Cricetulus griseus: one gene and its partners. The protein of the gene in region 1 interacts with the protein of each later gene in a biochemical or structural test. Links are inferred from orthologs where the notes say so. Each region holds a gene or a part of one and is shown on either strand. Other genes may lie near its edges.

Region 1 (5,498 bases):
GTTTGCAAACTAGGTGGGCTTTACCTTGTTTTCTTTTCTCTTGACCTCTACTGACGAGCTGCTCTCTTTAGCCCCCTCGAAGGGTTAGAATGAGGCTTTATGACTGTCTCTGTATTTATGTTAATTCTTACTGCCCTAGATATATGGGAACCCTCAAACATACCTGGTTTGCATTTGTGTTAGCCCATTATGAACACTTCTGCCTCTGCTGTGAGCAGCTCACACCTCCAGAGATCCTTTTGGGCAAGGTTTGTTGTGTTCAGCTGGTTCCCTTCTGGAGAGCTGTCACCTGAGCTCTGATATGTGTGTTGCCTACTGTCATCAGGCATCACACTCGCTCCCATGACAAGCCCCATCTGTTTTTTTGGTTTGCTCCAGCGAATACCTTTTAGACTTTGTAGCGCTCAACTTCCAGTGTGTATGTTGAGGCTGTCCTCATAGTACTTTCATCTTTCAATTTTTATTTCTTCTTACAGTTGAGTAATACCCTTTGTTTATTCCTTTATCTGCTAATGGGTATCTAGGCTCTCTCTCTTTTCCCTCCCTCCCTTGCCTTCCCCCTTCCCCCCCTCTTTTCTTGGTTTTGAAACCCAAGGCCTCCCACATGCTACCTAAGCCCTCTTCTGACTTCCAGCTGCACCCAGCTGTTTTTTTCCCTATATGGAGACAGAGACTCAGACTTACCATGTGGTTTAAGTTCCATATGGCTGTCTTCAGATCCACTCTTGGCTGAAGGCAGAGAGAAGCATAAGGGTCAGAGACAAATAAGTACTCACAGTGGAAACACTTTCAGCTCTGTTGCAGCCTAGAAGTGGGAGGTGGGCAGGCTCTGGCCATATAAGTCTTTAAGTCTGGGAGCAGGGGCAGTGTAGGTGGATTGTACCTGCTTAAGGATGTTTGGATATCTGGGCAGTGTCTTGGCTTTTGGAGCTTCAGCCCAAACCAGGAAAGTCCTTTGTTACCCTTTAAACCCACAATCTGCTATATCTGTTTCCACAAAAGATCTCATATGACTATTTTCAAGTTGAGGACACAAATTTCATACAACAGATAAGACTTGTTTAAATTATTTGGGCGGTGGTGGCGCATGCCTTTCATCCAGCACTCAGGAGGCAGAGGCAGGCAGATCTCAGTGCTTTCAAGGCCAGCCTGGTGTACAAAGGGAGTTCCAGGACAAACAGAACGACACACAAAAACTCTGTTGTGAAAAAGCAAAACAAAACAAAAACAACAACAAAAAAGACTTTTTAAAATTCTTAAGCAGTTGGCAGAATTGAAAAGGAAATTTTTGGAGTACTGACTAGTGGTTTATCGTGGTCTGTTCCAAGAGTGCAGGTTGAAAGTGCGGATTGTGTTTCTCATAAAGGCAGCTATTTGCTTACTCCACTACTATGAGTCCTCATGTGAGCCATGACAGCTGGCATCCCTCCCCAGAGCCCAAGTTTCTTGCTTTGGATTCCTGTCTAGCAGAAGGCCCCAGTGATCCAGCAGAGGCCTGTCAAAAATGCCCTGGCAAGGAGGAAAGCTGCCTGGGAAGGAAAGGTCTGTGCTAACAGCTCCCTCTCTGTCCAGACGGAGCGTGTACCACTGGACCTCAGTCCTCGCCTAGAAGAGACCTTGGACTTCAGTGAGGTAGAAGTGGAGCCCAGTGAGGTGGAAGACTTTGAGGCCCGGGGGAGCCGCTTCTCCAAGTCTGCTGATGAGAGACAGCGCATGTTAGTCCAGCGCAAGGATGACCTCCTGCAGCAAGCTCGGAAGTGAGTTGATTCTCCAGTCCTAGTCAGCATACATAAATTATGGGGAAGATGGCAGCTTGGTGCCAATTTTCTCAGTCCTGTACATGAATTACCTTCTCTCTGGTTCCGAGAAGGGGCACTGTTAATCCATGTGACAGACATACAGATAAGAAACAGATACCCAGGGTGGTAATCCTGCCAGCACCTGGAGTCTGCCTGTAGGACCTTGACTGCCCTGCCTTGGGCCTGCATTGAGAACAAAGCACCTGTGTTGTTCCTTGAGTTCCCCCACAGTTGGTGGCAGCTGGGGCACAGTGTTCCTTTGGGTCAGTAGAATCTTAGTTCAGTTCTTGTGGACAGGGCCAGCATTATTCATTCAAGTGAGTTTTATGCCTTGCACAAATCTGTCGCTCTAAAACTCCATGCTTTGTGGGAAGGGACTAGGCAGAGGAGAGAGAGATGAACTGTTATTTGATAGTCCTTTCCCTGGGAATTAGCCTCATCCATTGAAGAGTCTGCTGTTTTCTCCCTTCCCTGCCTCTACCCTGTTCATCCATCTTGACCCTTCTTTCTCTTTATTCCTCTCCTTTTACACCTTTGGGTTGAGCCCAAGGCCTCACACATACTGAGCAAATGCCTCCTACTGAGATGCCCTGCCCTCAGCCCATAGGCAAGGGTGTTTTCATCTTGAGTGACAACTTTGTGAAGGTGCCTGTGGAGATGGGAAACTGAAAACAAGTGTTCTGCAGATCTTCCCATTTGTTATCTTTCTCTTGTGGCTTTTTCATTTCTTATAGGCGGTTCTTGAACAAAAGTTCTGAAGATGACATGGCCTCAGAGAGACTCCTCCCCTCTGAAGGCACGTCCTCTGACCCTGTTACCCTGCGCCGGAGGATGCTGGCAGCTGCTGCTGAGCGGAGACTTCAGAGGCAGCAGACGACCTAGTGCTTCCTCATCCTCAGCCTCCTGTCCAGCCCTACCTACCGGAAGAGGCCTGTCCCGGTTTTGCCTGCTGTGTGGAGACCCGCGACTGCATTGCTGCTGCATAAAGCATGTGGTCTTAATAGTGTGTGGACAGCCGACAACTTTAATCCTTGTAATACTTTCTATGTGGCATTTCTCTTCCCCTTAGAAATACTGCACATTTGAACTCTAGGCATGACCTCTTCTGGTGTTGACTGGACTTCTTGGGAGTGGGGACAAGCAAAAGGAAGTAGGCACTTGGGCACTCACCTGCCTGCAGCAGGTAGTTTCAATTTCTGCTTTGGTATAAGCCATGGCAGATGTTAAGTGTCTAAAGGAAGCGTGGGTCCTGGGGAGGGTGCATCACAGCAGCCAGGAGGTGCACAGCAGGAGTCTGACTCTACATCTTGACAAGCTATCCTGTTGTCAAATGCTGTGCTAAGGGAAGAAGCATCCACAGTGTTCCAGAGGTCAGTACCACAGGCTCCTGGACTTCTAGACCAGCAGGGCATCATGTATAAAGAACTAATTTGGTACCTGGAGCAGAAAGGGAAAGCTCAGGGCTGCAGAAGGAGGAGACCCTTTTCTGCCCTTAATATTCAGGACCGACCTGAGCCCCGATCCACAGCTGGCTTTACTTCCGTTCACTCTGGTGCTCCTGCATCACATAAGCTTGCCCCTCCTTTTTCTTCCTACTCCCTGCTTACTCTAGGCATGGGAAGGGGTGAGCAGCAAGCTTTGGTTATGGTTTTGATTCCTTGGTCAACCCTGTTAGGCTATGCTAAACATATATGGGTTTGATCCTTGGATAGGTATGGGCCTGCAAGGCAGGGATGTTTTAGGGGACATTGCTGAAGTGTAATACCTTATGTATCTTTCTCCCCCAGAGCCCTTCATTTCCCTGCTTTTGTTCCTGTGGGTCTCATTAAACAGAAAGGGAAGATGTTGAATAATCCACATGCCTCAAGCAGACTTGGTCCTGGATTTTCTCAAATTCTCCACGTATTTAAGGATTTGAAACAACGCAATCATAGGTTACATAGTTTTATGTCCCATTGGATTTTTTTAAATGTTTGAAAACATAGTTTTATGGTAGTCCTTTTGGGAAGAATCCAGTATTATCTAAAATTATTGGCAAAGTTAAATGTATTTTACATACCTGGAAGTTTTTAGAATGTTGACAAGTAATTGAAGAAAGGGCAATAGATGAATAGGCAGAGTAATTTATTTCAATAAATCTTCCAAAAGCCTTACCTTGAACTGCTGTTAGTTCAATTCCTGTGAGTTTTTTTTTTTTTAATCTGTTTTGCTGAGAGCATAGTGATTTGTTTTTATTGTAAAGCAACAATAATAAAAAGCAACCTCTTGTAGTGTGTTGTATATGGTTGGAAGCTGAGGTAGCACTCTTCCAAGGGGCCACTCGAATCCCATTCTGCTTTTGTGTCTGCTCTTTGGGTTTGGGTGTTACAATCCTTTTTGAACTTGTGTGTGTGGGAGGGTGCTGTTTCTCCTAGTGTTTTATTTGGAGAAGGCAACACTTGAGTTTCTCTGTCTGCTTTCATGCTATCTTTCCATGCTGCACATGAAAATAAAGGTGAAGCAGATCCCACATATTACATTTCAGACATGTGAAGGTGGAAACTGCTTGCAGTCAGTTTCAGAGGGTCTTGAATATCGTAGAACAGTAGTGATGTAAGCAGAAGTGCTTTCACATACCTTAAGATGTTCCAGGGAGAGAAGTCCCAAGTACATGCTTGATTTGTCATCCCCCACCCCCACCCCCCTGGAGATAGCTTGGATCAAAGTGAAGTTGGTAGAGAATTATCTGGATAGTCAAGGATTCTGTGTGTTAATAGAAAATTTCTGGTTTTCAGCAAACCTCCAAGGAACTGGGAAATTTTGGAACTATTCTGTAATTCTCTGTTTTCCTCATTGGTCATATTTGATTTTTATCTTCTTGGGTCCTTAATTTTTTTCCTTTAAAAATTTGAGGCTTTTATGTAGCAGAGAGAATGATTGTGCAAATTTGTTGTACTGGTGACTCTTGAGTGCTCAGGTAACCTGAACCTGACCTTCCCTAGAGCAGTGTAGAGAGTGCTCTTCAGTTTGCAGTCAGCAGGCTCGATCCTGTGTTGAGATTTTAGGAAACTGATCTGTGAGCTCTTTGGGAGCTGGGCACACACAAATGGGAGGCTCGTTAAGGAGCTGTGTCTCTGCCCTGGAAGGCTCCCTGTCCAACCTGAAGGTCAGTCTCCCACCTCTGCTTTCCATTGGGTTTGAAGTGATTCTGGCCCTGGCTGTACAATGGAGTTTGTGTGTTTTTGTTTTTTTAAATCTGCAAAATCCATTCACAGGTTGGGAGAGAACTTGGTGGAATGAAACACATTTGGAGAGAAATTGAGACCTGTCAGGAACAGGTGTATTTTTCTTTAAGCTTCCATCGGAATCTTGGTTTGTCCTCTGATATAACAGTTAAGGTGTAGATTGGGTGTAGGTTGTTTGGGTCCCTCTGTAGACAGCAACCTGGGGTGAAGACAATTGGTAGGGAAAGCACTGGAAAAGAGGTGTGGTTTGGCAGAAGAGGTTTCAGAGGGTGCCTGCATTTACTAGGTATTCAGCATAATGGCAGGTGACAGGACTGTTAGCCTTGGTCTGAAACAGTGTCGTGCCCCCCTTCACACACACACCATGCTGGATCCAAACAACCAACGGCATGTGCTGTGTGTCAGGGAGAGGCCTTCCTGAGCTGAGAATGTCCATGTGGGGTGCTGTTAGGAGATGGGACTAAGCAGACCTCTG
Region 2 (3,932 bases), about 460 kb from region 1:
GTAGGAAGATAATTGTTAAGATGAGGTCATTAGCACAATATGACCAATATCCTTATAAAAAGAGGGAAATTGGACAGAGATGTGCACGATGATACAGATACATTCACGCACGTGTATGTGCATGCATGCCATGTGAACAGAAAGGTCGAAACTGGAACAATACACCCGGAAGCTAAGAAGTGCCAAGGACAGCTGGCAATCCTGCAGAAGTTATGAGTGGCACAAACAGATTCTCTCCCCAAAGGAAGCAATACTACTCTACACCCTGGTCTCAGACTTCCAGCCTCTACAGCTGCGAAATAAATTCAGGTTGCTTCAGCTCCCAGGTTATGGCACTTCCTTCTGGTTGTGTGGCAAACTTACATCACCATCCCTAACAGGCCCCTCCTGTTACTCCTCTGATTTCCTGGCATGGCTGAAAACCCAGGTGTCCCAACAGGATTGGGATAAGGATGAGGTCAGGTGAATGCTAATTTTGTTTTTCAAGTTTAGAGGGAACAGTGGAGCGCTGACAACACTAGAGGCTTCTGGACAAGTTTCACGACTCCACTGATGTCCTTGTCTCAACCCCAATTTAAAAGCAGCAGATGTCTATGATACAAACATTAGGCAGAAGCCCCACACTTGGTGCCATTCATAGTAAGGGGCAAGTCCCACACCTGGTGCAGAGTTAAAGTCCGGGAGGAAAAGCATCCCTGGATGCCAGGCTGCAGAGCCCCCGGGGAAATGCAAGAGGACGTGTGCTCGGCGCCTGGGGTCAGAAAGGGAGGAGGGCCGCTTTGTGAGGGAACAATTTGCAGAGCCCGCTAAGGTGGGAGTCAGGCGGGCCGCCCGGGCTCAGGCACCGCACGCATCCCGCGCTAGGGCCCCAGAACAGGACCAGCGCCCGGGAGCGCTCCCCGACATGGCCGCCGAAGCCCGGCTCCGGCGCCGCAGCCGGGACTCAGGATGACGCAACCGCGGCGGGTTGCATCAGCCCGCACCCTCGCGCTCAGCCCGCCTCATCGCCGCCCTGCCCCGGGCGCTGATTGGGCCACGTTAGACACTGACCTCTGTCTCAGCCAATGGGTGGCAGCCACAGAGAGCGCCGACTGTGAAGCCCAGGCGCGGGGCGCCCATAAAAGGTACTCGAGACGGGGGCGCGCGTCCCAAAGACGCCAAGTGTCGTTGTGGAGTCTCCGACGACGGCTGCGTCGCCGCCAGCTCGGCATCCTTGAACGCTGCCGAGCCGCCGACGCCGCAGACATGGAGCCCGAGCCGCAGCCCGAGCAGGTCACGCTGCTGGTGAAGAGTCCCAACCAGCGTCACCGCGACTTGGAGCTAAGTGGCGACCGCAGTTGGAGTGTGAGCCGCCTTAAGGCCCACTTGAGCCGAGTCTACCCCGAGCGCCCGGTGAGTGGGGACCCCGGGGTGCCACGCCCGGCAGAACTGCCTGAACTCACCTGTCACGCATCGCAGGGCGCCGGTCCCCTTCCGGCCCGACCGTCCCCCGTGCCCCTCTGCTTGCCCCGGCGTTTGTCATCTCTTGTGGGCCTCCACCCCTCCGTGCCAGCGCCCTGCTAGCTCCTTGTCACTTCGCCTGCCTCCCTGTATCCCTTTACTTCCAAAGCTGTCACACGTCAGCCCCACGTCCCTATACCCCCTCTTTGTCCTCCCAGGTGGCATTACAGCCTTCGCCAAGCCAGGGAAACAGTAATTTGACCTTGGATGAGTCATTTCCCATCTAAGCCTTAGTGACCCCCCCCCAAAAAAAACAAAAACAAAACAAAAACAAAAAACAAAACAAAACTAGGTGACTAGGTGTTTCCAATTCGGCTTGCATCCAGTAGGTAGAAATAAGAAATGTGAATGTTGCCAAACGAGACTTCTGGGTGCAGCGGGGACAGAAGAGTGCATGTGCCAGCATGGGCCAGTGGCTGGAGGACGGGGAGGGGGGTGTTTCGTTCCCAGTCACCAACTTCTGAAGGTCCTACGCCCAGAAGCTAGACGTGGCTCTTTTCCTGCCACCTTCCGTTGGCTGCCCCTCCCTGTCGCTCAGCGCTCCAGAGGCATTGCTTAGTCCAGGGAGGAGCCCCCTTAACTTTCTAGCAAAGACTGAGAAAGGAAGCCACAGCTGGAGTCGCCCTAAGTCTGGTTTGACGATTTCCGTGGGTCAGTTAGGAGTGTTTTTTAGTTGACACATCTGTCAACAGCTCCCCTTAGCCCCGCCCACCCCTCCAGTCCCTGCCACGTGATGGAGGCTGTGCTGGACCTTCCTGTATTTACTTTGTACTCTGATGTTATGTAAGTGTCCACGAGTGCAGTTCTGGATCAAACAGGAGAGGGCAATCTGGTGGCTACAGATGGGGACTTCCGAGCAATTGCCTTCGAGCTCCAACCAGCAGTGGTGCCTGGGTTTCAGTTTGTTTTAGTTCCGCATTGTCGGTAATGTAGGCCAGACTTTTCCCTATGAGTTGTTAGGAACTTACTTACTTTGGGAGTAAGCTTCCAATCCAGTGCCAATGGAATTCATCTGGGCTGTCTGTAATATCTCCTTGGCCGTTTCCATGAAACCAGGTGTCCTTGTTGCGAGATGGCAGTTAGGCACACAAGTGATGCTCCTGTGATCTCTGGTTGCATCATTTGGAGAAGGCTATGTTTTGAGGCTTGTTTTCCTCAGGCAAGGAACATTGGGCCTCTTGGATTTGAAGACCTAAAATGGTAAATATAGGTCTCCTGGGTGTACACATCTGTGTCTTAAAAATCACGGGGAATGGGTGTAGTGGTGCACTTCTGTAATCCAGTACTGGAGAGGCCCACGCAGGAGGGTCATATCCTCCTGGGTTGTATGTAGTGAGAGCCTCTCTCAGAAATGAAGGCAGAAAACATCCTTATATTTTTCTGTAGTAGTACCCGCCATTGGTGAGAACCTGCTTTTATAATTCTCAAATTGGCCTTGAGGACAGAGAGGAAAACAGTTCAAATCCACAGGCAACTGTGCTTTTTTTCAGCATTTGCTGGTGGTTGGCTTCACATTTAGAACAGTAGTTTGCAAATTGATTTGTATAGCATTTACCAGCAAAGCCAGACAGAACAACAGCAAACACAGCATCAGTATACTTCTTTTCTTTAGGTATAGTGTCAAAAGCCCTTATGAATGTTGATAAGCAGATACAGGTTTTGTTGTCATTGTTTTGGTTTTGAGGCAAGGCTCAACACAGGCTAGTTTGAGCTTGTTATACATCTGAGGCTGGCCTTAATCTCGACCTTTCAGCCTCTACCTTCCAAGTACTGAGCTTATAGGCATGTGCCACCATGTGGGTGCAGTTTTCCTGGTCTTTTGGGTGGTAGTATTTTGAGATAGGATCTCTCTAGCAGAGGCTTGTCTACAGCTCATTCATATCCCAGTCTAGCCTGGAACTTCTGCCTGAGCTACCTTCATGCTAAGCCTCTAGATGTGAGCTAAGTTTGGTTTCTTCTAGGCTGGGTTGTTTGGGAGGAACAGCTTTGTGCCAAGTTTTGCTTATGGGTTATTTGGGTGCAGCAGGGTGGTACCCTGGAGTCCATTGCTTTTAAGTATATACTTTTAAGAGTATGGTCTTAAGAGAATTTTTAAAATAGATTTTAGAAGTGAGAATTATATAAAAGTGTGTGGACTCTTGGTGTCTTTAAAGCCACTGGTATGGAGGAGAACATGGGTTGGAATCTTGATTCTATCAGCAGGTGACCTCAGGTGCTATGGGGGGGGGAAGACTGACCAAAAAGTACACTGAGTGTTCTCTGGGCCCAAGTAGGTTTTAAAGTTCATTGCCCCTGAGGCCCTAAATACAATTGTTTTTTTTTAGTAGCAGGAAGCAGTTTCCCTCTGAGTAAGAAGTAAGGTTGTGCGGCCACTCTTAATGGAATAGGGGATCTTGGCCTCCCAAATTTATTTGCATATATATTTAAGGTTA
Region 3 (5,799 bases), on another chromosome or scaffold:
ATAATCTAACTCCTGTTTTGTGTTAGTATTAAGCAAGAATGACAGACCCATATGGTGATCTGGTCTATGCTTCCCTGGGGAGTAAGATTATTTTAGTTAGAAGAAAAAAAAAAAGTGCTTACCCCTGAGGAGTCCACATGTAAGCAAAGACAAACAAGAGTTAAGGGCTGGAGAGATGCTCAAAGGTCAAGACACTGGCTGCTCTAGCAGAGGACTAGAGTTCAGGTCCCAGCATATACATTGAGCAGCTCACAGCTGGCTGTAAGTACATTTCCAGGGGATCTGATGCTCTCTTCTGGCTTCCTTGGGCACTAGCATGCATATGTATATAGAAACACACACACACACACACACACACAAATAAACACACATTACACACTTTAAAAAATACTTTAAAAGAAACACAAGGACACTTCCAAAAATAAATGCCATACAAATGGAAAAAGAAATTTTATTTGTTTCTTTTTGAGATACGGTCTCTCACACTATAGCCCTGGTTGGCCTAGAATTTTCTAGGTAGACCAGTTGGCATCTCACTCACAGAGATCCTCCTGTCTCTGCCTCCTGAATGCTGAGATTAAAGGTATGTACCACCATAGTCAACACAAATGATTTTTTAAAGTGATACTTTAAGATAGTCATGAAACAAAATCTCTTACTTTCACAATACACTATATATTATCTAAATATGAGAGCACCCAACCTCAGGAGACATGTAGCTCACATAGAATGGATAGTAACATGGGTTTTGTTCATGAGATGGCTACTTCAAGACATTATTATCTCTATTTCTCAAAGCTGGTATTTTCTTATACATCCATTTCACAATTCACTTAATTATTTTACAATCATTCATAAATATATATTTCCTAAGAGGCTAGCCTGTGCTCCAGTAATAACAAATCATGATAAAATATAATCAATGGAGTTAAATCTTTTACTACCAAGTAGTCCCATCAGATCATTTACTACCACTGTTAACGATGACACTCTCAAGTGTGATGTGCCTATGAACCATCAATGAGATAGGTGTTCAAGCTCAAACATTAGAACTTTGTTTTCTTTAAAAATCTAGAAAGATAACTTGCTTACTTAAATTGATTTTTAGCTGACAATTTATAAAAACAGAAGTACCTTTTTTTTAAATTGCTGATAACATACAGTAAAGACAGATGCTTTTCAAATTGTGATGGCATTAAAATTCTATTTTAGAGATTCTAGACTTTTAAAACATTGAGTGATGTCATGGCAGTGATACCGAGAGTCATTCCCGAGAGTCAATTCCTCCTAGTTATCAAGATTATCCCCCTAGTTATCTTTAGGGCAGGGAATACAAACCCATACTCCTTTTTGGACTTGTATAAGTAATCCATCTTGGATGTGGATAAACCCCAACTTCTAAATTCTCAACTACAAAAAGGGACCACAGCATACTACCTCACAGGAGACAACCTGATAAAGAGGTACTAGCCTACTGCAATAATGTTTATATGCAATTAGTGGCTATTAGAAATGCCAAGATAGGAGGTGGCATGGGCAGGGGTTAAAGGTGCTTGCTACCGAGACCAAAGTGACCTGGAGTTGGATTTCAAGGAACCACATGATGAAGAGACTCCTACAAGTTGTCCTCTGATCTTCACATGCACCGAGGAACACACCCCCAAATTAAAAAAAAAAAAAGTGACAACAAATTTCTTTTAAATGCAAAAAAAAAAATTAGATCACATTTTCCACATTGGAAATAGTCATCATGCAAAATTATAGAGTTTTGATCAAGCAGTTTTGGGGTTTGCATTAAGTAATCAAGACAAATAGTAGAAAAAGCATTTTATTTATATGGAAAAAGCTACAGTCAGATCTGTAAAAGGTGTCAATATAATATTGCCTATACAGAAAAAAAAATTCAAATGTGAAGAGCAACAACAGAAAAAGTGACACACCTTCCTACTTAGCAGTGCAATTAATTCACATTGCAATAAAGTTAAGTCAAGTACAATAAAACCGAAACAAGTGTTTCTCCATTCTAGTCAATATACTGAGAAATACAGTGTGAAGATCAGTTCTGGTTTAAGAAATATGCATTCAACCCACAGAATATCCTAAGACAAGGGGACAGGGGGCACAGTTAATTCATCATCAGCTGTTGGGGTTTCAATACTGTTCACAGGAAAAAGAAGTCATGAGTTGACATAGAATATATTTAGTCTATACAGTAAAAAAATACAAATTATAAAGTGAGCTAACAAAGAATGAAATCTGAATTCAGATTTATAAAAGTGACGACATCTTGGACAACACGTACAGTGTTTCTCATGTAAAAACATCTCCTTTCAGCAAGCAAAAAAAAAAAAAAAATCATCTGGTTGCTTCTCAGTCATGTTGAAGATCTCGCTTTGAAGATGCAGGTGTCCAAGTGTCTCAAAAACCAAAATAAATGTCCTCCTCAAGGAGCATAGAATGCTAAATGCTCTCCGAATAGTTTCAAGGGTAGCTTTGGAGGTTTGTTCTGTCTTGCTTCAGAAACACATTTAAAATGAGTAAAAACCAAAGGGTTCGTGGAACAGAGGAGACAGCAAATGGCACTCAACTTACTGCTAATGTTGAAAAAGACAGGTTTTACAGTACTCTGGCAGAAGTGGAAGTGGTTTAAAACATTACATTGCATATTTCTGAGTCCATTCTCTTGCGTGCCTGTTGTATCTGTAGGCATATAAAAAGAGAGAGAGAGAGTAAAAGCACACACGTTTAGCCGGAGGAAGCCACACTCTGTTCAGAATTGGGTCTTCTACCTCCTCTCGCTGACCACCAGACCTTCCCCTGTCACTGGGCTGAGGTAACACAAAAGCATGCCAACATAAAAGCAAAAACAAACAACTTTTAAATTACTAGATTCCTCAAAAAACAAAACAAAACAACAACAACAAAAAAAACGAGACAAAAAACCAACTTCAAATAGAAATCTCTAGAAGTCAAGCCTGAGGTAGGCTTAGGCACCAGGAAGGTGAACTGGCTAGAGAAGTTCAGTGTGTGTGGGCAGAGAAATAACTTTTCTTTCTAGGAGACGATGGGGAAACAATGCCCAGTGCCGCCCAGTGATGAAAGCCTTCCATGATGAATTTACTAGCTAGAAACGATGAGGGCACAGCACAGACAGAGGACATGATCTACTAGACAGTGACCCAGAAAGAGGTTTCTTTTTTTTGTTTCTGAGACAGTTAAAAAACAAACAAAAAACCAAAAACCACAACTTACACAGAATTAATTGTACTTCACATATAGTACACAGGCAGCAAACCATATTGAAACGCACACAACAGGAAGTGTACAGCGGGACACACTTACTTTTCTTTGTCTGATTTATAGATCTGTGCAATATCTGGTACTAAAGGATCGTCTGGGTTAGGATCACAGAGCAGCGAGCATATGGACAACAACACTAGGTTGGAGGAAAAAACAACAACATTCCATTGAGTGATGCCATTGCTGCTTTATAAACTTACCCACCTGAAAACAACTGCCCTGAACACAAAGGAAATGAAAGAGGAGAGGAACACTCAGAGGTAAGAGCACAACTCAGTGGCAGGTGGCTTCCAAGCATACCTGGGACCCCAGCAAAACAAAAAACAAAACACCCAGCGCTGTAAAAATATAAAAGTCACGTTTTATATTAACTTCAGTTGGGGGGTAAATATGATTATTTCCTAAAGTAATGAAACTATTATGTTTGACATTTTTAATTCTAAGTAATCTACGTTTACTTAAAACAATGTGTGTCATCCAAAGTAGCTGCTGGCAATCTTTCAAATCAAGAACTCGTGTGTGTGTGTGTGTGTGTGTGTGTGTGTGTGTGTGTGTGTGTGTGTGTGTGTGTGTGTCCCCATCCATCCATGAAATATAAGATCTTTTTCCAACAAATCTTCCATTCCTTTCACCTCATATTTAATTATATTCACTTACAAACAACCTGAATACCCATCTCTGTTTAACTTGTGTATTTTAAAAGATACATAGAAACTGTAAGGTATCTGTTGCTACATCATGCCAAAACTACTAATGCAAATAGCTACACTTAAACTATGCCAGGAGGCCAGCCTGGTCTACAGATCGAGTTCCAGGACAGCTAGGGCTGTTAAACAGAGAAGAAACTCTGTCTTGGGGGGCGGGGCTGGGGGAGGGGCTACACAATAAAGAGAAGCACATCCTAGTAGGCCCAGCACTAGAGAGGCTAAGCAGGACAAGCTGCTAACTGGACACTAGTCTGGACTACATAGTGAGACTTGTCCTAAAAACAAAACCAAACCCCACCTGCTTCACATGTGTGCGGTCCATCCAAGGAACCCCACAGAAGCATCTCCCAAGCCCCACCCACCCTCCTCTGCTATGATCTTTCTAGTCTACAGGTAAACTTAGAGCAAAGTAGACTTTCAAATGACAGGGAGACGGGGCAATGAGAATGAAGGGAAAACCATGTTTCTTTTCCTCATCCTACCCCATGAGACTCAGGCCTTCTATAGGAAATCAACAGGACAAGGTTATCTCTTCCTTTGTATATCCCCTTGTACATCCAGACTAAACTCACAGCAAAGGTCAATCGAGGCCTTTAAACACAGAAAAACGAAAAGTGTACCAATAGGTGTGTGAGGTCTGAGCTATCTCCTGACATGGACAAGAGTGAAGTTCCCCAACTATCTCCCCAGTCCGGCTGCCAGGAACCATCTGCCCCCATTTCACTATCACAAATGGCCCATGAAGAGGAGGAAGGGGATAGAGGTGTCCACCCCAGGGCTCGGTATGCACCAGGTGCCCAGCGGCCGAGTTTGGTAATTCTGTCACGATCCTGGAATGTGATGAGACCGGAGCAGTTTATGCTCCTAGGCTAGCAATACGAATTATTTTTTAGTCAAAAGCCACAGCACCACTGATAGTCATTGAGTACGTGGCAGCCAGCCATTTCTTTAAGTGAGAAGGACTTAGCAGCTTGTGGCAAATGAGAGCCATTTTGGGACACCATTCCAAGAAGAACTATAGTAATCTGAATAATTATAGACAGAATCTTTCCTTTATTCACTTTATGGTAAATTCACTGCTGAAAAAAAATTTTTTTTTTTTATTTCTGAGTCAGAGTTTCTCTGTGTAATAGTTCTGGATGTCCTTGAACTCCCTTTTTGTTTAGATTTGGCCATTCACTCATTTCTCCCAATCCCAGAGTTTACTAAAAGCCAGAATGACCGAAGAGTTACTAGAGAAAACAAAACAAAAATAGTAAGCACTGAGGGTTGAGGCATCTGTTTTGTTTGTCTGGACTTCGGTTTTTGTTTAAACTCTGGTCCCTAGACATTGTACAGTCCTCTCCATGCCTATTTTAAATCTGATAAATGAAATTACCTTTCGATACAGTCAAAGCTGGTGACCACTGGGACCGCAGGATGTCAAGACAAATACTTCCATTACTGTTTATATTTGGGTGGTAGATTTTTGTCGTGAAAGCAATCTACACATAAAACAGAACAACAACAACAAAAAGGTTGATCGTCACAAGCGATGAACAAGCAGAACCAATCCACTCAAGGGAGAAATGTGCTCAACTTTACACAGCTTTGGAACAGAAACATCTACATGCAGGTCCGCTATTGGGAATTTGAAGGAGACTCAGTTTAACCTCCTTTTCTCCTCCAGGTGCTGGGACGTATCTTGGGTGTAATGAGGATGTCTGCAATCACTGGGGTGACTGGCACTTGGACCAGCTGCTCTGGCTTTCATTACACCTCCAAATACTCTTCTTAACCAGCCTGTGAGTAA
Region 4 (5,799 bases), on another chromosome or scaffold:
CTCTCTCTCTCTGTGTGTGTGTGTGTGTGTGTGTGTGTGTGTGTGTGTGTGTGTGTGTGTGTGTGTGTGTGTGTGTGTGTAAGCAGAGGACAACTTCATATGTTATCCTCAGGACACTATTTCCTTTGAGAATAGGTGATCAGTGAGCCACAGGGATCCTCTGGTTTTGGCTTCTTCAAGCTGGGACTATAAGTTTGTAACCCTAGCAATTTTATGTGGGTTCTGGGGATCAAACTCAGGTTCTGGTACATATAAGTCAAGTACTTTATTGGCTGAATCATCCTCTTAGCTTCTAGGTGCCGTTTTTAAACATTAAAAAATTCAGTGTTTGCTTTGCAACTTGTGTTTCATTTCATCTCCTCTGTAACTATTATCTAGAAGATACTGGATAACTATTGCCTGGCAGGGGCTTCACTTTCTTATGTGAACTTTACCCTAGAGCTTCCAGCTGTGATTTTTGGCAACTAGGCTTTAATGGAACATTTCCCTCATGGGCTGTGACTCAGGGAGTGGGGGGAGGAGGAGGCTTGTAGAAATTCTCATGAGAAACAATAGTTTTGGGGCTGGAGAGATGGCTCAGCATTTTAAGAGTTGGCTTCTCTTCCAGATGACCTGGGTTCAGTTCCCAGCACCCACATGATGGCTCACAATTGTCTGTAACTCCAGTTCCAGTGGATCCAACACCCTCACACAGGCAAAACACCCATGTATGCTTTTTATTTTTTTAAAAAAAATGAATTAAAAAAAAAGAAATAGTTTGGTTGATGTTTGGAGCTGGTTAGTATTTTTCTCATAGAGGTGGGGAGCTATAGGCTTGTTCTTGAGATTATAAAGTGTCCCCACCTCCAGGACATCAACTTGGGGCAAGAGAGTCAGGGATAGGGAATGGGGCAAGAGATGCAGAAAGAACGACCACAAGACAGGATTCTGATCAAGTGGCAAACTATTTTTTTTTCTCAGGCTAGCTTATATAGTCGGCAGAGTAGGATATGGGGAGGGGTAGAATGGGTTGTTTGTGAGCCAGGTGTTAGTGTAGGCAGGATATTAGGAAGCCACAAAGAGGATGTTTGGCAGGGTAAAGAGTTAGTGAGTAAGAGGTCCAGGAAGGGTTGCCTATGTGACTGAGCCTGTGGGTGGAGGACTGGGTCTTTTTCTTGAGCTGAGGTTCTAAGGAGCTCCTATGTAAAGGTTAATATACAACTATGTGGCCGGCCAAGAATGGCCTAGGATCTCATGCCCAGCCCTGAGATTTGGCTCCCAACATATTCCCCCTTCCATGTATAAAAAGAAGCAGCCAAATTTTTCAGCAGTGGGGGGATAGAGGCCTGGCCCCCAATTGGAGAATCTATGTAGATTTTATAAATGACAATTTTCTCATTTATAAGAAGGGGATGACTTCTCGGAGCCATCTGAAAGGCAGGACTGTCTGGATGCCTTTTGTGGGGGTGGGAAAGCGTTAGGACATTGACCCCATTGCATATTCCTCAGAAGACGAGGTCTCCTTGCAGTACCATCCAGGTCTGCACCTCTGAAGCTGGCCGTGGGGAAGTGGTTAGTATTGGACCAGGACAGGCTTAGTGGCAGAGTCCATTTGTTGCTTGACAAAGGCCACAAGTCGATTAAAGGCTCAAGGGCCAAAGGAGATTAGCTAGAGGAGCCCTATCAGGGGTCCAAGGAGGGAAGGGAGGAAGGTGGTTAACTATGGGGGGAAGTAGTAGGAATGGGTAGAAGGAAGCAAAAAGGAGTAACAGGAGGTTATTTTCCCATATGAGGGAAGCCACCAAGCCAATCGTTGAGTCGGTGTCATGGCAGTCATTTTCAGGGGATGTGTAGAATGGGTTGATCGGGACACTGGACAGCAGTGTCAGAGACACAGGACCGTCAACCATGTGTCTAGACATATAGCCATCTTCTCCAGACACTGAAGTTACGTTACAACATAACAATATTGAAAATACTGTACTTGCTGTAGAGCCAGAAACCAAAACTGCAGCAGCAGAAATAATTACTGAAGTGGAAATTCAACTGTTTTTTTGTTGACATGTTGGAGTGTACATTAATTATTTTCTTGTTGCTGTGACAAAATAATTGATAAAAAAAACTTAAATATTTCAGTTTATGGTTCAAGGGTGTTCATTGTGTAGTTCATCATGCCTGGGAAAGTGTAATAACTGGAGTGGGTCAGTGGTACGGTGATGGGAGGGAGTATGAATTCTAGTACTGTGCTTGCTGTCTCCTTTTTTCATTTTTTATGCAGCCGTGGAACACTAACTGATAGAATGATCTCAACCACATTCTATGTTAAACTGTTTTGGAAACACCCTCAGATGAAGGCGTGAGTGAATGAGTTAGTTCACTAGACCCAAGATAACTGATAAATGGGTATTTTATTGGGGAACAACTTACACAGAACAATAACTGCTGCAGCCAGAGGCAGGCAGATCTCTGAGAGCTCAAGGCCAACCTGGTCTACAGAGTGAGTTCTAGGACAGCCAGGGATTGTTACACAGTGAAACCCTGTTGGAGGTTTGCCTGTGCCTGTGCCTGTGCCTGTGCATGAGAGAGAGAGAGAGAGGGAGAGAGAGAGAGAGAGAGAGAGAGAGAGAGAGAGAGAGAGAGAGAGAGAGAGAGAGAGAGAGAGAGCTTCCCTCTTTCTGGTTCTGTCCACACTTGAAGCCATGCCCATAGGGGTGTCACCACTAATACAAATACACTGGCGAGGAAGATGCTGCTGTAATTCCCCCTTTTAGTGTAAAGAAGGTTTTAAGCCTGATGCAAAAACTGTATACAATGTCAAGTATATTCCAGGAAAAGAAAAGGTAAACATACACAAATTAAAACCTACAACCAGCAATAACAACATTGAATAAAAGACACATACTACACTCAGACATGTACCAGAGGTGTGTCTCCTAAGTGATTCCAAGTTGAAGTAGAGGTTGACAAGTGAAGATGGACCTGATATCAATGTATGAAGCTATAGTCGTTGAACTAACACCACCACTTTTGACTGTTTAAAAAGTTAATGCTTCCTCGGTTACTAGCATACTTTGTTTAGCATTTTATAGTAGTGATGTATTCTACTTCCATTATTAGATAGCATGTGCTGTATGAGAATCATGTACTTACCTGCTCAGATTTCTGGCAAGTGCTTTCTGAACTGCTCTTTCACATGTTTTGTCCTCATTGCCTAATTTGAACCACTCAGCCCTTGGCTCTCTTGACAGATAAAATAATTGATAGTTTTTCTGGTTTTGTATATACAGTCATGATTGTGATGGTGGCTTTACAGGTATAGTATATTAAACTTCATCAAATTATATAGTTTACATAGATACAGTTTATCTTATGTCAGTTAAGCTCTTTTGGGGGCGGGTGAGAGATGGTTTCTCTGTGTAGCTTTGGCTGTCCTTGAACTTGGTCTGTAGACCAGGCTTGAACTCACAAAGATCACCTGCCTTTGCCTTCTGAATGCTGGGATTTAGGCATTCACCACTACGACCTGGTCAGTTTTACTTTCTTTTTATTTTATTTTATTTTTTTAAGATTTTGTTTATTATGTATACTGTATTCTGTCTGCATGTCTGCCTGCAGGCCAGAAGAGGGCACCAGATCTCATTACTGATGGTTGTGAGCCGCCATGTGGTTGCTGGAAATTGAACTCAGGACCTCTGGAAGAGCGTGCAGTGTGCACTTTAACTGCTGAGCCATCTTTCCAGCTGCCAGTTATACTTTCTTAAAACTATCTTAAAAACTCACGTGATATGCCTATTACCAATAAATCATTATTTTAGTAAGCTCTGTCTATCTGAACTCTTAAGGCTTTTTTTTTACTCTTCCTTATCTGCTCTTTGATGATCCTTCATTTGTTTCCCAACTTCTTTTTTGATTTTTTGAGACAGGGTTTCTCTGTGTAGCTTTGGAGAGCCTGTCCTGGCACTTGCTCTGGAGACTAGGCTGGCCTTAAACTCACAAGAGATCCGAGTGCGTGCCACCAACGCCCGGCAAAAACTTGATATACTTGATTTGATTTGATTTTTGGTTTTCTTTGAACTGAAATTTCAATGGAGAATTGGCTTTATTTATTTCCATCTTCACAGGCTCTGTGGAAACCTACCTAGACTGCTAAGACCTTGGTTGGAAGACAGTACAATTCCATCTGGATAGTTTGCTGTACCTGTGGCTTGTAGTATGGAAATGTTGTGGTCATGAGGCAGCATTTTTATAGTTTTTATAGTTGATGGCTTATGTATGCTCAAGTTCTGTAATTTACCTATTGGGGGAAAAAACATTTTAAAGTTTTAATTGAAATTTTCTTTTTCTGCAGAACTCAACAAAAATCCAGTGGAAGGCTTTTCAGCAGGTTTAATAGACGACAATGATCTCTATCGATGGGAAGTCCTTATTATTGGTCCTCCAGATACACTTTAGTAAGTATACTGACTGGAACTGACTACTTCAAATAGTTACTCCTAATTTTGAAAATTGAATTTTTTAAAGGAGCAAGCAAAAATTGTTTCTAATACCATTTGTCTTTTTTTTTTTTTTTAATTTAATTTAGAAACAAGCTTCTTTTACCTGTCAATCTCAGTTCCCTCTCCCTCCCCTCTTCTCCTGTCCGGTACTGACCCCTCTATCCCAACCCCTTTCTGCTCCCCAGGGAGGTTGAAGCCTTCCTTGGGGGATCTACGAAGTCTGTTGCATCATTTGGAGCAGGGCCTAGACCCTCCCTACTGTGTCTAGGCTGAGAGAGTATCCCTCTATGTGGAGAGGGCTCCCAAAGTTCATTAGTATAGTAGGGGTAAATACTGATCCACTACCAGTGGCCCCATAGATTGTCCAGACCTCCAAACTGACTTCCTCCTTCAGGGGGTCTGGAACAGTCCTATGCTGGTTTCCCAGCTATCAGTCTGGGGTCCGTGACTTGCTCAGGTCAGCTGTTTCTGTGGGTTTCTCCAGCCTGGTCTTGACCCCCTTTGCTCATCACTCCTCCCTCTTTGCAACTGTATTCCAGAGTTCAGCTCAGTTTTAGCTGTGGGTGTCTGCGTCTGCTTCCATCAGCTACTGGATGAAGGCACTAGGGTGACATATAAGGTAGTCATCAATCTCATTGTTGGAGAAGGGCATTTAAGGTAGCCTCTCGACTATTGCTTAGGTTGTTAGTTGGGGGTCACCCTGTAGATCTCTGGACATTTCCCTAGTGCCAGATTTCTCTTTAAATCTATAATGGCTCCCTTTATGATGGTATCTCTTTTCTTGCTCTCCTTTATTCTTCCCCCGACTCAATCTTCCTGCTCCCTCATGTCCTCCTCTCCCCTCTTCTTCTCCTTCTCTTTCTTCTAACTCCCTCTCCCCTCCCCCATGCTCCCCATTAGCTTAGGAAATCTTATCCCTTTCCCCTTCCCTGGGGGACCATGTATATTTTTCTTAGGGTCCTCCTTGTTTCCTAGCTTCTCTGGTGATGTGGATTGTAGGCTGCTACTTCTTTGCTCTAGATCTAAAATCCATATACGAGTGAGTACATACCATTTTTGTCTTTTTGCGACTGCATTACCTAACTCAGGATGGTTTCTTGTAGTTACACCCATTTGCCTGGGAATTTCAAGATTACATTGTCCCCCCCTCCCCCCAGCTGAGTAGTACTCCATTGTGTAACCATTTATTTGTCTTTAATTTGATCATGTTTTGAGCCTTTGTTGTGCTTGAAACTCTGTCTAAAACCAGGTCTTAAACATACAGTTTCAGAATTTAGGTACTCTTGCTGCTGAAATTAATTTTTTTGTTAAAAACCTTTTTTCT
Region 5 (6,484 bases), on another chromosome or scaffold:
GTTAGAACAGGCGCCAGCCAGTCACTGGGGCATGGTGGGTTCCTCTTTCCTTTTTTTTTTTTTTCCTTTTCTTTTTTTTTCAAGACAGGGTCTCACTATGTAGCTCTGGCTGTCCTGGAACTTACTGTGTAGTCCAGGCTGGACTCACGGAGATCTGTCTGCCTCTGCCTCCCGAATACTGGGACTAAAGATGTGTACCATCACTGCTGGGCTAGGGACGGTTTTCTTTTTCCTCCTGATGCTGGGGATCAAACCTAGAGCTTCAAGCATACCAGGCATGCTCAGTAATATCAATGATCCACACACCGGCAATCTCCTGGGACAATTGTCTTAATCTCTCTTTCTCTCTCTGTCACTCTTGATTGCTCTTTTTATTTGTTAGTCTCACAGTTAAATGAGATCATGTACACACCAAGTCAGAAGTAAATACCCACTGTCATTAGTAACTGCAAGGTACCCACTACAATTGCTGGTGATAGTTTTTAAATGGATTGCTATGTTGTCAAGATTTAAACACAATGTCAAGAGACAGTCACTGGATTGTCTTAGTGTGTGGAGCTGTCAATGCAATGAGAGGTGGGACTTAGGTACATAAATACCATCCTCTTCCTAAATGCCCGTCTCTCTGCCTTAAGGCCCGTGATAAATAGACACAGAAGTGACTCCAGCTTTTCTTTTAAACACAAGTCTCCAGAGAAGTGAGACCTGCTGGAGGTTGTGATTTATTTAGAGGAACAATGGTGCAGGCCTTGGCGGTGGAGGCTCTGGCCTTTAATCCCAGAGCTCTGGAGGCAGAGGCAGGCCGAGCTCTGTGAGTTCGAGGCCAGCTTGGCCTACAGAATGAGTGCCAGGACAGCACAAACACACACACATATATATGGAGAGACACAGATCATTCATATTTTATATATATGTGACTTATTAAAGCTTGCCTGAGGATTCAGAAAGCTATATATATATATATATATATATATATAGAGAGAGAGAGAGAGAGAGAGAGAGAGAGAGAGGAGACAGAGGAAGAGGGAGAAGGGGCAGGGTATTTGTCCCAGTGTGGGACAAAGGACTGCCCCTGGCTATAAGGGAGATGACAGACATGGTACATAGGAAAATGGCAGTCTATAAAGATATAAAGGGGATGTTAGGATCATGAGTTTAATCTTAGTTGGGCATGTTAATTAGGTGAGCCAAAGGGGGCTTTCGGTTGCTGGACTTCAATACTTTGATAGCTGATCTTGGTAGTCAGCCTCAGGGAGAGGTAGTGGCCAAAAAGGGTTTGCTTCCTGAATCCTCAGGCAAGCTTTAATAAGTCACAAATATATCCCTACAATGGTGACTATCTTCAGGAATGTAACCTAACAGTTTTGAGCAGGGGAGAGGGAGTAAGAGAAGGGTAAGGATCGCCAGATCCATGCTGGACACACTCACGCTGGCCAGAGTCCGACTGCCATTCAGGCCACCCTTGGTACTTACTATCTTGCTACAAAGCAATCACAAAAACGTGGGCGGTGATAGGCATGACCGTTCTATTGGAGTGATGCTCAGGCTTGTGTGTGGGAGCAAGGGATCAAACCCAAGGCCTTGGGCTTGCCGGGCAAGTGCCCTCCCACTCCAGCCCTTCCAATTTTATGAGGACACACTAAAAGGTGGGTTTAGGGTGCTTGATACCAAGCCAAGCCTGAGGACCTGGCTTTGATCCCCAGGTCCCCACAGTGGGAAGGGGACTCCGGTATGTTTCTCCACACTTAGGCTGCTGTGGTAGATGCAAGGCACATAGCCCGCCGCCCCCCCTTCCCCCTCCAAAAAAATGTTTTTAGGACAGAGGTGGGTGGATCCCTGAGTTCCGGGACAGCCAGATCTACATAGTGAGAACCGCGTTTCAGAAAAATAAATAAATGACGTCTGGCCGGGTGCCACAGGGCGACTTTAATGCCAGCCCCGGGCAGTGGCGTGGAGCTGTGGGGCTGTGGGGCGTGAGGAGTTCCAGGCACTTCAGGGGAACACGGTGAAAGCCTCAGCATTCAGGCTGGGACAAAGCAACCACTGCTCACTAAACAGTGCTCACTGCCGGCGGGGATGAGCGGGGAACCCCCAACCCCTTCTCTCGCCCTTTAACCCTGTGGCCCGGGCACGCGCGCTGGGGGTTTGCTTGGTCTTGTCTTTTCCAGAGCGCTAGCGCTTCCCGGCGTAGCCCAGGCCGGCCTCCGGGGGCCGGGGTCACAGGCGCGCGCCGGCCCCGCTTCCACCAGCGGCGAAACGCTCGGTGGTCTTGAACCATGGCGCTCCCTCGGGCGCCCTCGACCAACCAACGACCCTCAGCACACGCCACAGTCTGCGAGGCGCGCAGCCGCCCGGTCCGGCTCGGGTGCGAGCGCACACGGCCCACGGAACGTCCAACCGTCGGGCGGCGGGGGGCGGGGGGGAGCGGCTTCCGGGAGCGCAGGCAGTGCGGGAGGACCAGAGGCCCTGCCGGGGCTTAGGTGGCTAGGGCTGTGCCCGTGCGTTTCCTCTGCCCGCCCAACGCGGACGCAGGCGCACGGCGTGCAACAGCCCCACGAGTCCCCCACGGGCGTCCACAGCGTCTCTCCGGGTAGGGGCGGCATCCCGCTCAGCGAGGGTTTCCTTCAGGCGTTACGGCGGCCACCTCGGCCGTGCGGCGCTTGCGGGGCGCGCGCCGTGGGGGTGGGGGCGGGGGGCGGCGGAGAAACGCACGCAGCCCGAGGCGAGGCGGGGCGGGGCGGGGCGGGGGGCGGGGCTGCGGTGTGCGCACGCGCCGCGCGGCTCACGCAGGCGCAGTGCGGTCCCCCGGGCGACGGCGGCGGCGGCGGCGGCGGCTCCTCGGGGTGGTCGGCTCCCTCCCATCTAGGCCGGCCCCGGCCCGTCTCGGCCCCTGGGAACTCACTGTCTGGGGCTGCGGACTTCCTCGTCGTGCCCCGCAGAAGCAGATTGGGGGGAGCCTGGGGGAGCCGGAAGTACCGCCTCGAGAGCCCCAAATACGATCGGGGAAACGGAAGTGGCCTGTGGTGCCCGCTTGGGGGAGGCCGGAAGTGACGGTACGGCGGGGAGCCGGCGGGGGGGGCGGAGCCGCGGGGCGCTGCGCCGCGCCTCGCCGTGTGTGTGTGTGCGTGCGTGCGTGCGTGCGTGTGTGTGCGTGTGTCTGTGTGTCCGTGTGTCTGTATGTGAGGGGCCGCGTGTCGGGCCGCGCGCGCTGCTGCTGCAACGCCGGCGGAGGCGGAGGCGGAAGGACGGGCGGCCAGCGAGCCGGTCGGGCTCCCGTGAGTGTCCGCGTCCCCGGCGCCTGTGGTGCTTGAGGCGGGTTCGATCGCCGTGGCGCGCGTGCGCGGAGCCACTTTGTCCGCCGAGCGCGGCGCGGCGCGGCGCGACCCGACCCTCCCCCCGCCCCCCCCTCGCGTTGTCCTCGGCTCTCCCGCTCTCTCGGGCGCTTGCTGGGTCGCGACCGGTGATGACAACTGGTGTCCGGTCGGTCTCGTGCTTGCTTGCCCGGCTCGTAGCCCAACTGGCTCTCCCGACCGTGATTGGCACCGTGGAGCCCCTCCCACCGCTCGCCCTTCGCCTCCCGGTGCCGTCCCCCTCCTGCCCTTTGTGTTTCTCCTCCCGGGCCTCGGGGCCGAGGAGGGGGCGATGAGGGCGAGGACGAGTGGATGTGTTTGTGTATGAGAAACTTTGAGAGGGATCGGGGCGGAGGCCGGGCCCGGACGCTCTTCCGGGTGTGTAGAAGGCGGGGCGGGCGGGCGGACGGACTGACGGGCGAGCGGGCGAGCGAGCGGGCGGCGGCGAACCACCCCCTCCCTCCCTCGTCTCTCCGTAGAGAGCTGTCGGCCATGGAGCCGAGCGATAGTGCCAGGACCGCTATGGAGGAGCCCGACAGCCTGGAGGTCCTGGTGAAGACCCTGGACTCTCAGACTCGGACGTTCATTGTGGGGGCCCAGGTGAGGCGGGGGGAGAGGCGGCGGTGTGTGTGCCCGCTTCGCTCGTGTGCCTTCCGAGGGGCGAGCCTGCTTGTCTTGTCACCGACTCCTTTGTCCCTCCCTCGGTAGAACCTCTGATGTTCCTGTTGAGTGAGGAGGTGTGGTTACCGTTGAGTGAGGCAGGTTTTGTTCCGCCCGCCTTCACCTCGGTGGAGCTCGGTGGAGAGGGAAATGCCGCGGAGGAATCTGTACCTGGCCTGGGCGGACCTCTGCCCACAGGGACACGGATGATTCCGGCCTGGGGGACCGGAAGCAGCACCGGGGCCTCAGACAAGTGTGCTGTGTTTGCTCTGTCTTTGAACAACTTGTTCTCGGCCTTAACACTGTATTTATAGATCCCGGGAGCCTGCTTTTGTGCTCTGTTCAGGAGGATTGCCAATATCTTGAGGGGTGGTTTGAACCTCCCGAGCTTACAGGGTGCAGTGTGGGCACAGTTATCTTTGTCTTTACTGCATAAATCTTTTCGGGAACAAATCATGAACGGGTCACTTTCGTGGTTTTATAAAACATTGGGAACACCGGGTACACTTTCGTGAGTAGGTGTCTGATGGCCCTTACCAAGAGTTACTGTCTAATTTGGAAGATTCTTTTTGGGGGTGGTAGGGACAGCAATACCTCATAGAGCTCAGGCTGGCTTTGACCTTCTGACTTCCATCCTCTGTGCTAGGATTTTAGGTGTAGCATACCTGACTTGTTTTAGGTTGTTTTGTTTAGTTTTTCCCCAATAGGGTTTCTCTGTGTAGCCCTCTCTGTCCTGGAGCTTTATCTGTAGACCAGGCTGACTTCAAATTCAGAGATCCGCCTGCCTCTGCCTCCCGAGTGCTGGGGTTAAAGGCGTGCTCCACCATTGCCTGGCTGAGGTAGGGTTTTAAGTGTCTTAGAACTGATTGTCTTTTGGATTCGTCATCCTCCTGTCTCTGCTTCCCAAATTTGGGGGTCTCAGGTGTGTGCTACCACGTTGGTTTGTTTGGGTTCTTCATTTTCCCTCCTCCCCTTATTGGGGGGGGGATGTTCCTACTGGTGTTGAACCCTGGACCTAGCACAAAGTACCTACCCCTGAACTCTAGGAAACCTCCTGGGCTCCCTTCTTACTTCTTCATTAGTTATCTTCCCAGACCCTGGATCCCAACCCAGTATTACTTGCCATTGGTGGAAATGGTTGTTTGAGGGTGTATCAGGTGTGTCATCCCCCCAGGTTTCTCTGTGTACCTCTTGCTATCCTGGAACTCAATCTGTATAGCAGTCTGGCCTAGAATTCACAGAGTCTGCTAAGATTAAAGATGTTCACCACCACCTGGCTTCAAAAAAAATGTTTTTAAGACTTTATTCATTTTTGTTTTTGTTTTTGTTTTGTTTTGTTTTGTTTTTCGAGACAGGGTAGCTGTGTGGCTTTGGAGACTGTCCTGCAACTAGCACTTATAGACCAGGCTGGTCTCCATTTGCCTGCCTCTGCCTCCCAAGTGCTGGGATTAAAGGCGTGTACCACCGCCCGGCCCAAGACTGGCTTTTTTTTTTTTTTTTTTAATTTAAGATTTTATTTATTATGTATACAACATTCTGCTTCCGTGTATATCTGCACACCAGAAGAGGGCACCAGATCTTATTACAGATGGTTGTGAGCCACCATGTGGTTGCTGGGAATTGAACTCAGGACATCTGGAAGAACAGTCGGTGCTCTTAACCTTTGAGCCATCTCTCCAGCCCCCAAGCCTGGCTTTTATTTTATTTTGTATGTGAGTGTCTTGTCTGTAGGTTCATATGTGTGCTGTATGTGCAGTTGGTGCCCGAGAAGGTCAGAAGAGGATATTAGGTCCTATAACCTGTGGAAGTCAGGAAATCGTAACACCTACTCTGTTATGTATGGATGCTTGTAAACCACCATGTGCTAGGAATTAAACGCTGATCCTATGCAAGAGCAACAAGTGTTCTTAACCTCTGAGACATCTCTCTAGACCCTTGTTTTGTATTTTAAGTCAGGGTCTCTCTTTGTAGTCTTGCTGGCTTGGTAGCCACAGAGATCCACCTGCCTCTGTCTCAATGGGAGTAAAGGGTTGTGCCAGTGTCCACCTGTTTATAGGTTTGCGATTACAGCCATGAGCTCCTGGCATGGTTTTATATTTAGAAAAGGATCACCAGAATCTGTAGATACTAAGCCAAGAAAGAGAAAGGGAGAGCTGTTAGGCTTTTTTCTTGTAACATTTATTATTTATTGTTGTTGTTGTGGTGGTTATTCTTTGGATTATTTATTTATTTATTTTGGGGACAGTCTCTACATAGTTCTGGCTGTCCTAGAACTCACTCTGTAGACCATGCTGACCTCCAACTCACAAGAGATTCACTGCCTCTTCCTCCCAATTGCTGATTATTTTTATTTTTAATTTTGTATTGGTTTGTGTGGAGGCAGGGGTTTGTGAGTACCTGTGGGCACCAGTGTTCATAGAAGCCAGAGACACTGGGTCCCCTAGAATTGAATTTACCAGTAGCTGTGAGCTGCT

Evidence for each region.
Region 2: of the proteins of Amfr (region 1) and Herpud1, one has a biochemical effect on the other in vitro, tested with the Homo sapiens proteins (6 studies listed by BioGRID and IntAct, with this or other methods). The link is inferred for Cricetulus griseus from reciprocal best matches to the Homo sapiens genes AMFR and HERPUD1.
Region 3: the proteins of Amfr (region 1) and Ube2d1 form a complex in vitro, tested with the Homo sapiens proteins (2 studies listed by BioGRID). The link is inferred for Cricetulus griseus from reciprocal best matches to the Homo sapiens genes AMFR and UBE2D1.
Region 4: the proteins of Amfr (region 1) and Ube2g1 form a complex in vitro, tested with the Homo sapiens proteins (7 studies listed by BioGRID, with this or other methods). The link is inferred for Cricetulus griseus from reciprocal best matches to the Homo sapiens genes AMFR and UBE2G1.
Region 5: the proteins of Amfr (region 1) and Bag6 form a complex in vitro, tested with the Homo sapiens proteins (2 studies listed by BioGRID, with this or other methods). The link is inferred for Cricetulus griseus from reciprocal best matches to the Homo sapiens genes AMFR and BAG6.

The regions. Positions count from the first base shown.
Region 1 is NC_048596.1:170,161,670-170,167,167, reverse strand, and holds the end of Amfr (E3 ubiquitin-protein ligase AMFR), read left to right. Parts: intron 1-1,572; coding exon 1,573-1,757; intron 1,758-2,533; coding exon 2,534-2,681; 3' UTR 2,682-4,069; downstream 4,070-5,498. UniProt on the Homo sapiens protein: E3 ubiquitin-protein ligase that mediates the polyubiquitination of lysine and cysteine residues on target proteins, such as CD3D, CYP3A4, CFTR, INSIG1, SOAT2/ACAT2 and APOB for proteasomal degradation.
Region 2 is NC_048596.1:170,618,191-170,622,122, forward strand, and holds the start of Herpud1 (homocysteine-responsive endoplasmic reticulum-resident ubiquitin-like domain member 1 protein), read left to right. Parts: upstream 1-1,132; 5' UTR 1,133-1,245; coding exon 1,246-1,392; intron 1,393-3,932. UniProt on the Homo sapiens protein: Component of the endoplasmic reticulum quality control (ERQC) system also called ER-associated degradation (ERAD) involved in ubiquitin-dependent degradation of misfolded endoplasmic reticulum proteins.
Region 3 is NW_023276806.1:266,584,483-266,590,281, reverse strand, and holds the end of Ube2d1 (ubiquitin-conjugating enzyme E2 D1), read right to left. Parts: intron 5,492-5,799; coding exon 5,386-5,491; intron 3,437-5,385; coding exon 3,343-3,436; intron 2,701-3,342; coding exon 2,655-2,700; 3' UTR 1,811-2,654; downstream 1-1,810.
Region 4 is NC_048600.1:86,468,970-86,474,768, forward strand, and holds part of Ube2g1 (ubiquitin-conjugating enzyme E2 G1), read left to right. Parts: intron 1-4,327; coding exon 4,328-4,430; intron 4,431-5,799. UniProt on the Homo sapiens protein: Accepts ubiquitin from the E1 complex and catalyzes its covalent attachment to other proteins. In vitro catalyzes 'Lys-48'-, as well as 'Lys-63'-linked polyubiquitination. May be involved in degradation of muscle-specific proteins.
Region 5 is NW_023276806.1:231,656,124-231,662,607, forward strand, and holds the start of Bag6 (large proline-rich protein BAG6), read left to right. Parts: upstream 1-2,566; 5' UTR 2,567-2,590; intron 2,591-2,794; exon of another isoform or gene 2,795-3,053; intron 3,054-3,084; exon of another isoform or gene 3,085-3,275; intron 3,276-3,586; exon of another isoform or gene 3,587-3,728; intron 3,729-3,829; 5' UTR 3,830-3,842; coding exon 3,843-3,950; intron 3,951-6,484. UniProt on the Homo sapiens protein: ATP-independent molecular chaperone preventing the aggregation of misfolded and hydrophobic patches-containing proteins.